Linked DNA regions of Mus musculus: region 2 is reported to be linked to region 1. Evidence: microRNA targets listed by miRTarBase, many of them from high-throughput screens and not tested one by one. Region 1 holds a microRNA gene; the other region holds the end of a gene's coding sequence.
Evidence for each region. Region 1 holds the annotated microRNA mmu-miR-540-5p (CAAGGGUCACCCUCUGACUCUGU, at 2,824-2,846, shown strand). A microRNA usually pairs through its seed, bases 2 to 8, with sites in the 3' UTR of a target mRNA and lowers its output. Matches are read on the target gene's strand: a 7mer-m8 pairs with bases 2 to 8, a 7mer-A1 pairs with bases 2 to 7 and ends in A, and an 8mer does both.

Region 2: miRTarBase lists Abi2 as a target of mmu-miR-540-5p. Seed matches in the 3' UTR shown: 7mer-A1 at 2,341-2,347.

The regions. Positions count from the first base shown.
Region 1 is chr12:109,583,262-109,587,654 of GRCm38, forward strand. It overlaps Mir540 (microRNA 540), which reads left to right and starts at 2,819; the gene lies at 2,819-2,885. Mir337 (microRNA 337) reads left to right here and starts at 2,528; the gene lies at 2,528-2,624. It overlaps Mir3544 (microRNA 3544), which reads right to left and starts at 2,612; the gene lies at 2,552-2,612. It overlaps Mir665 (microRNA 665), which reads left to right and starts at 3,053; the gene lies at 3,053-3,146. It also overlaps a transcript of Rtl1 not described here.
Region 2 is chr1:60,477,453-60,481,845 of GRCm38, reverse strand. It overlaps Abi2 (abl-interactor 2), which reads right to left. Exons shown (of 12, transcript NM_001198570.1): 12 at 683-3,843. The coding sequence ends at 3,839. It also overlaps a transcript of Raph1 not described here. Among named protein-coding and RNA genes, the nearest start is that of Abi2, 70 kb to the right of the region's middle.

The DNA of each region.
Region 1 (4,393 bases):
ACATTTGTGTCTCTTTTCCAAGTGTTTCTCATCTAGACCCCATTACATGTCAAAACTTTCTACACCTATGTCACACACAGAGCCCCTCCCACCACCCATGAATCACAACAAGGGTCCTGAGTCACACTGCGTCTCATCTCTCCACGGGTATCACATTCAGCTCCACTCCCCTACCTGGGTCAGAGTAAGTTTCTCTTCCCTATCTTTACATGGTTTCCCACTACACCTGCTTTGTCTTGGACAGACCCCTCCCATCAGGCTGCACTTCCAAGACCCTCTGTGTTCATGTGTTAACATTTCTTATGTCTTATTGCTGGCCTCACACTGAGTCCTCTCCTCTTGTCATCCTGTGTTAGGGTTAGGCTATTGTCAGCCATGTGTCTTAAAGAGAAAATTCCATAATGGGGCACGCTTTGCCTAGCTCCACCCATATGTCCTGAAGAGCACCATTCCTCTACATGTGTCATGCTTAGCCTAACCCTTCCTACGTTCTGTATGCCCCCTCTCACACCTGTCGTGGTCACCTGAGTTCTACCCATGTGTCCTAGAGAGAGAACACCTCTCCCCACGTGTGTCATGCTTAGCCTAGCCCCACCCGTGTGCCCTGTGCACCCGAGCTTCATCCCACTTACTCCCCATTCACCTTAGGCCCCTCCCTGACTCTGAGCTCCTCCATCGTGAGAGGGCCCCTAAATCATGTGTCCCATAGCCCTCGTTCCTTTTAGTCACCACAAACCCTGCTGGTGCTCCAGATGCGGTACACGGAACTCTTCTCCTCTCGCTCTCTCTTCATGTTGGGAAGCCCCACCTCTGCACGCAGCACGTTGAGACATCCACCCCTTGCCTTGTGACATGGAGCGCTCTGCCTCTACACATACCACACTGTGACGTGCATGTCCTCCAGGTCACAAAGCAACTCATAGGTGTCACATCTAGTCCTTCTCCCCACTTGTGATGAACACTTTCCTTGACAGATGTCACACCGAGCCCCTATTTCCTCTATCAGAGCCCCTCCTCCTTATGTCCCACATGCAGCCCAGTCTCTTTCTCAGGAGTCATAGGCTCTCCTGTACAAGAGTCATACTGAGCCCCTCCTCTTTTTATGTGTCATGTTACCCCTCCTCTGCACATCACATTTACATTTTTTCTCCCCTGTACCATGGATTCTCTCCCCCATGTATAGCCTTGGACCACTCCCCATCCGCTAGATTTAATCCCTTAATCTCTCCATATGTTACTGACACCCCCCTGTGTAGGTAGGCATCATGGGATGTCCCTGTTCTTTTCTTTATGACATGAAGACCCCCTCTTTGCGTGGGATATCATATCCTTCATCTCTCCCTTGTGACATACGTCACCCTGAGACCCTCCTGCTTCCCGTGAGCCATGTCCCTATGCTCCCATACACATACATGTCCCTTTGCAACCCTCTTCTGCCCTGGATGATGTGCAGCTGTGTTCCACATGCTGCCCTGAGCCCCCCTTCTCTCTCTCCCCTGCCCCACTGACATCTGCAGCATCTTACCACAGCATTGAGCTGCCTTAACCCTTTGTCATTCACATGTCGTGTGCAGCTCCCTTCCTCCCTGGCTTAACACCGAGTCCTCCCTTCCCCACCTGTGTTCACCTGTCTTCTGGCCTCCCATCCTTACTACTCCCTCCCACCCCCATACTACCTCTTTATACCCTGCTCTCTGAGACTATGCTGGGACAAGTGTTTGTTGGCAGTTGGTGGGTGTGCCAGACAAGGAAGAGAAGAGCACAAGTCAGGAAAGATTTTTTTTTTTTACTTTATTCATATGTAAGGTGATACACATGTGCCATTCAAGCTGGCCATGGTGACAGAGGCCTGTCAATCATAGCCACACTTGGAAGCCTGAGGCAGGAAGATGGAGAAGTCGGGATCCACTCTGGATTACACAGATCCTGTTTCAAAAACAAACAAACAAACAAAAAAACTAACAGGCAAGCAAAAGCAGTTTGTGGTTTTTAGTTATTCATGGAGGAGTGTAACTCAAGTTGACACTCAAAGAACCTGGGGAGCGGTTGTTAGCTGTACCTGCAGTTTGTCCCCTCACCACACTGAGTAGCTTTTAACCCATGCATCTTTTTGGGGGATCCATCTGGGGCGTCTAAGCTCCTGCTGGTTCCCATGAGTCCCTTCTAGGTCTGCAGAGGAACCCACTGGATACTCGGGATGGACCTTAGCAGGACACTCCTGTGACCACAGTCACCCTTCCTTCCCTCTCCGCTTCCCCACCCCTCCTTCAGTGCTCCCTTGCCCCTCCTCTCTCCCTCCCATCCCTCTGCTCCCTCTCCCCCCTCCTCATCCCCTGGATTGGCTCCAGTCACTCCATGAGAGTTTATAAGAAGTGAGGTTGGGCAAGGAGGGTAGATGCTTCCACTGTGCTGCAGGTGCCCTAGGGCTGGCTGGCCTTTGGTTTCCTTCCTCTAACACTAAGCCCTGGGAGTCTGTCCTACCTGTTGTCTGTGCTTCTTGCCTTGCTTTTTCAGGAGAGGAGGGTCCCAGTGTAGTGAGAAGTTGGGGGGTGGGAACGGCGTCATGCAGGAGTTGATTGCACAGCCATTCAGCTCCTATATGATGCCTTTCTTCACCCCCTTCAACCGCGTGAGGCCTCCGGACCCTCCTCCGCGCACCTTGGGCCGCTTAGGGACGCGTCTTCAGCTCGCTCTTTTCCCCTGGCATGCTTTCTCGCCATTCTCCACAGTTCCTGGAGGGGAATACCCGGGGCTGGGCCATACCTGAGATCATTCCTTGGCGGGGGAGCTATACCCCTGGTGGGACATTCCCTGGGGCTGGGCCAAGGGTCACCCTCTGACTCTGTGGCCAAGGGTAGACAGGTCAGAGGTCGATCCTGGGCCTACTCTGGGGCTCCTCCCACTGGGATTCCAGGAGCCGTTCTCTCCTGGAGGTCCTCTGAGGGGACCCAGCTCCTAGCAGAAAGGGTGGATCCTTGAGAGATGGGGTCTTTGTTACTAGAGCAGGGCACAGGGCTGAGACAGGGCAGGGCTGAGCATTACCAGTGCTCCCAGAACAGGGTCTCCTTGAGGGGCCTCTGCCTCTATCCAGGATTATGTTTTTATGACCAGGAGGCTGAGGTCCCTTACAGGCGGCCTCTTACTCTCTCCTTGAGCCCTTCTGGAGACGTCTCACCTCATTCAGTTCAAACTCTGGATCCCCTAAGGAGTGCAGAAGATCCCTGTTCATCCTCCTCCCAGGCCGGGTGCCCACAGACACTTCAGTAGCACAATGAGCAGCTGGCGTAGAGTCTGAACCCCAATACCTAGGTCATTGCATGCATACAGGGCCCATCTCCATCCCCACAACACCACCATTATTAACTGCATTTACCAGCTATGGCAGCCAGCCCCGGCACACAGGAGCACCCTGAGTGAATAGCCTGGAAGCTGTGAAAGGATTTGAGGGCAGGACAGGGAGGACCCAGGCCACACCCAGTCCCCCTCCCCTTCACCACTGTCTCTCCCTTCCCTGTCCCCCCCTCTGCCCCCAATCTCCTTCTTCCTACTTGTGCTCCTGCACGGTCTTGGTGGCAAGATGGTCATGCGTGTCTCTCAGCTCACACAGGTGGATCAAAGTCCAGATGAGGTTTGCTGCTCAGGTCTCAGATCGTGTCTAACGATGTGGTCCCCTGGGCCCAGCACCAGGGCTTAAGGTGTATGGGACAGTTGAGGGGTGGGTAATATTTTCTTTTCCTTTTCTTACTATGGGGGTAGCCCAAGTTAGCCCAGGTTACCCAGGCATGTGGAGATCTCTGCTCCAGCCTGGTGAGGAGCTGGTAAAACTCTGGACTCAGGGTCCTGTGTGTGTGCTGTCACTGGCTCTGGTACCTGCAGGGACATCTTATAAGGGGAAGCAATGGAGAGGACAGGGAAGGTGGGCAAGGGAGGGCCCCTGCTCCTCTTTGTTCCTGGATGCTGTCAGAGCTCTCTGGTTGGGGACTGAAGCTGGGAAGTGGGGGCAGCTCCTTGGTGGGTGGAGTCTGCAGCCAGGGCCTGGCCTCTGGTTTTCACCTTGACAGGGTTGGAAGTGATGTTATCATCCCCTAGCAGGAACTTTCACACCAATTTCTTTCTTTTCTTTTCTCTTCCCCAGGAGAAAAAAAAAGGTTTGTGTTGTGTTTTTCAATCTCTATAAGTGGCTCCGCCGATAACCTGATAACCTACCGTTTTAGCACGTTTTAGCACGTCACCAGCTCTCTTCACAGTCCGGACCACCTCCTTTTGCTGTTAATGGGGACAAATCCCTGCTGGGTAGATTGGTAGGCCTGCGGGCCTTTATTGTCCTTTATGGTCTGTGTTCGTGCGGGCTGTGGGTAAACGCACCTCTGCAGTCAACATCACTGGCAGCCTC
Region 2 (4,393 bases), not on the chromosome of region 1:
CAAAAAGTTATTCACCATCTGTCGTCAGTGTTTGACCCTGGCTCTGAAAAAAGTACACAGTAGACTCAGAATGACAGGACAGTGAAACAGATGGCACCCTCCCAATCTCCAACACCTCAATGTGTGAATCCAAACCCTAATTAATAAAAACAAAAGGCTGGAGTCCCATTTATTTTTAGACACCAGAATACTCATGACAAAAAGACCCTTTTATTTACAGAGAAATCCTTTTCTTGAAAACATTTCTTTAAAATGTGTTTTAGTTGAGTTTTCCAGTTTCCACATTATGTGTCATGGAAGTGACAAAGGCACTGAAGAACAATGGGCTTGTAAGGCAGCAAGAACTGTAGTATCCTCACTCTGGAGATAAACTGCACATCACTCAAATCACTAGAGAACTTCTATAGTCATTTTTTCTGGAATCTTAACCCACACTTTGTTTTAAAACCCCATTCCAATGATGGAAAATTTTACACTTAACAAAATTTAGTTATATCTGGAAAAAGCCGTGTTCATAACTAAAATGAGAAGCTGTCTTTAAAACAAAATATTTCAGAGACCAAACTTGCAAGAAGTCCAACAGTATTTGAATTTTTTAAATGTTACGTAACTGAACAGTACATCAATGCTTAGAACCACCTTAGAAAGAAGTAGTAAATATATAAATGATTCTACAAGACACTGCAATATACTTCGTGTGATTTTTATTTGGGTCAAGTTCTTAGTACACAGCAGTAATTATTCCGAATACAATTTAAAAATTAAGTGACTGTCCCTCATTCATCTGGAGGTGCTTAATGGCGCACACAAGGAATGTTACTGACAACAGTTGTCTGCTCAAGTTGCCTGAATGGTTTTTTACTCAGTACCACCAACTCTCTGGGAACCCTTAGTGTAACTGCCAGATCATAAATTGTTTACATTCTTTTTGTAAACCATTTTATTAAGAAAAAAAGGTATAGGACATAAAATATGATTAAAAACTGCTTTCCCATAGATTTCTGAACTTGCGAAAGAGGCTTCACTTTAATGTGAAAATAATCCTTTTTTTACAAAAAAATTAACATATTTTGCAAGGTCATTTACACAGCTAGGCCCTGTCATTTGTTGATTTTTTTTAAATAGAGATTCTCAATAAAACAAAGAGCATAAAGTAAATTTAGATAGCCAGCTCAATGTCTTCATTTAGTAACTTTGTAAGGCTCTCGTAAGTAAGGCTGTGTACTTTGTTGTGCTCCATTCTGTTCCTGCCAGCATAGAACTAAATACAATGCATTCTTGCTACACACAGCTTTATAGAAAGGTATTTATGAATTAAGTTTTAGAAGGGGTGAATGCAGGTTGCACTTGAATTCCTTTAAGCAATCTGAATACTTTGATGGTTATTAATCAGAACATGGCATATTTTTTCAAGTATAATCCTGAATACAGATAGAACTCTATTTCTAAAGAAAAGTACAGCACGCTTAGTTACAACAGTTGGTCCGGTGGAGAGAGAACCGAGCACTGAGTCAAGAACTAACTAGCTGCTTATCTAAAACACAGCATCACTCAGGTGAGACCGGGACAAACATTGTTAAAGCTTATTAGTTCAAAAATTCTGATTCCAAGTAAATGGTGTTAGGGAAACATCAAGTCACCTTCGGGAGGAGTTTCTGGCCAAAGCTATTCATAAGTAAACAGCTCCCATTCATTTCAAAGATTTGGAAGTCTACCAACCATTTCTTCCACCAAAGCCCTTTGCAGGCGTAAAGGCGGCCTTCGGGAGACACCATGTTCTCCATGAGGAGAAAAGAGTAAAGCAAGCTGTACTGCAGAAAGGTGACCTTAAAAGAAAATGAGAACTGAAAGATAAAAGCAAGCTATCATTTTGATGTCCCACACGTAAGAATCATCTTTAATCAACATAAAACTGTTAACGAGGCAACTACATGGTAGACATCATTTGTAAAGATGCATAAACCAGTCTCTAGCCAGGCAATATAAACAGCAGTAGTACTGGTAAGGAAAGGAGGGGGTAAAAATTGTCACCCAGTGACTTAAGAATAGCAAACTCAGCAGTCCTGTGCTAATCCCTAGATGAGGACAAGTACCTCTCAGGAAGACAGAAGTAGCCAAAAGGAAAATACTGTAGGAGACATCTTTAAAAATTCATATTTATTCCAAACACAGCAGGCTGAAATCTTGGGTCTAGATTTCAAAATATTGGCACTATTTTTGTTTCTAATTTGCCTTGGCTATAAGATCAAACACAAGAATGTATTTTCACTCAGATCCTTGGACCTTCAAATATTAACAGCAAAAAAAGAGACATGTCCAGTCTTTTCTTTTTTTTTTTTTTAAGGGTAAAGGAACTGTGCACAGAATCAGACATTTCAGGATAGACCAGAGCCCTCAGTACCTGTGTCTTGGTAAAGTGGTTGCATTCTGGTCAGCAAAGTTTCAACATTTGTTTAAAATTCCTAATATCAACCATATTTTAGTTTATGGGCAAATAAATGGGAAAATTTACAATAAAACAGGAAATAACCTCACAGTATTAACAGCATGCAATCTATAAAATATTACATACATTAAAAGTCTCCGATTACTGTAGGCCTGGCTCATTGTTACAGAGTATCCTTCCAAAACAATTCATAGAATCCAAAATTGAAAAAATTTAAGATTGGGGGAAAAGGCCAACATAGAGTATTTTGTGTTTCGTTTTTAAACCCTATTAGTACTCAATAATACAAGGGGGAGGGAGTCATCTGTCCCATGGATTACCCCCAGTGCAAGTCTTCAGCACAAAGGATTTCACAAGTGTTTTCTGCAAACCCCAACTCAGCAGGAGTCCAGAAGATAAACTGTATTCCTGGTGCCTACCACCAGTTGTTTCTATGACTACAAAAGCTAGTTGTTTGCTGGGTTTCCAAACGTCTTATTAGTCAACTAAGCTTGTTCAACAAAAGGCTACTTAAATAAATAATTAGTGCAACTATTTTTCAAAAGTTTCCATGTACCAATACAATCAGAGTTAAACGTTCATATACAGTCTTGCTTGGGTCCATAATGGAACTAAAGGTTCAGAGGACTTCAGGGATATATTCTGAAGACAGTCAAGATGACCTAACAAATCCATGAAGTGGAACGTGTGCTAGAAGCAAGTTAAAGAATCCAAAGCATCTAAAAAAACTCTAAAAGTGTGAGCCGGGCGGTGGTGGCGCACGCCTTTAGTCCCAGCACTCGGCAGGCAGAGGCAGGTGGATTTCTGAGTTTGAGGCCAGCCTGGTCTACAAAGTGAGTTCCAGGACAGCCTGGGCTATACAGAGAAAGCCTATCTCAAAAAATCCAAAAAAAAACAAAAAAAAACAAAAAACAAAAAAAACAAACCATCTAAAAGCGTGATAGCTGATGTGCAATGTGGTTTTAAAATAAAATTAAAACCAAAACAGCCTGCTGCTCCTGGTACAGTGGCTCCTCCTTACAATCCTAGTATTTGAGAGGCTAGAGCAGGAAGACACCATGTCTGAAACAAACAAAACCTACAACCTTAAAGCAAAAGAGGTCTTGAGAAGAACACTGTCTGGGTCCGAGTTGCACAGTGAAGCCTCAGGTGCAGATAGCGGATCTACCAGTGGAGTGTCAGTGCCTTATAGTCTGCTTTTCTTCACATCTACAACGCTTGTTCTTCTAGCATCACCAGACAGCATGTACAAGGCCTGCATCTGGATTACAACAGCTTTACTTCCTCTTCGGTAGATGAGGGAGATGCCAATAGTTTCAAATACATACTACTGATTTTCCTCAGTGTGACTGGGCAAGTATTTTATTCTATTAGTCTTCTCCAGCACACTCTTCACTCTGAATCACAAAATTCAGAATATTACTAGGAGTGCCACTTTAGAGTCTAATCACTTCAGATCAGGAGGAGACTTATTTTTCTATAGCTGAGAGATTGAAAATGACTTGGCATCAGCTAACACTGCCATTGATAATGGTCCAAGAGCATGGTAGCAGCCTTTCATTCCCAGTCCAGTGACTGTCAAGAGACTTGACAACACTAGTCTCTGCTAAAAAATTAAAGGTGGGGTGGGGGGGTTGAATATCAAAAGAACAGTAATAGCTGGTCTGACTTCCTGCTCTGAAACAGCCTAAGGCTGGAGATCCTTAGGAACCTTCGTATCCAACAAGCTCACCTCAGTACATGAAGTACCTACACCACATTTCACATTGCTTTCACTGGCTGCTATCAGCAATGCAGTCTCATGCAACAGTGCATTAAAATCAAACTGTTAACAACCCTGGGAATATTTGGAGACTTTCACATTTTGTCATCCTTATAATCTACAAACAGGACAGGGTGCAAGGGAGTTCAAGGTTAACTCACCTAGCGCACTCCAGTGCTAAGAGA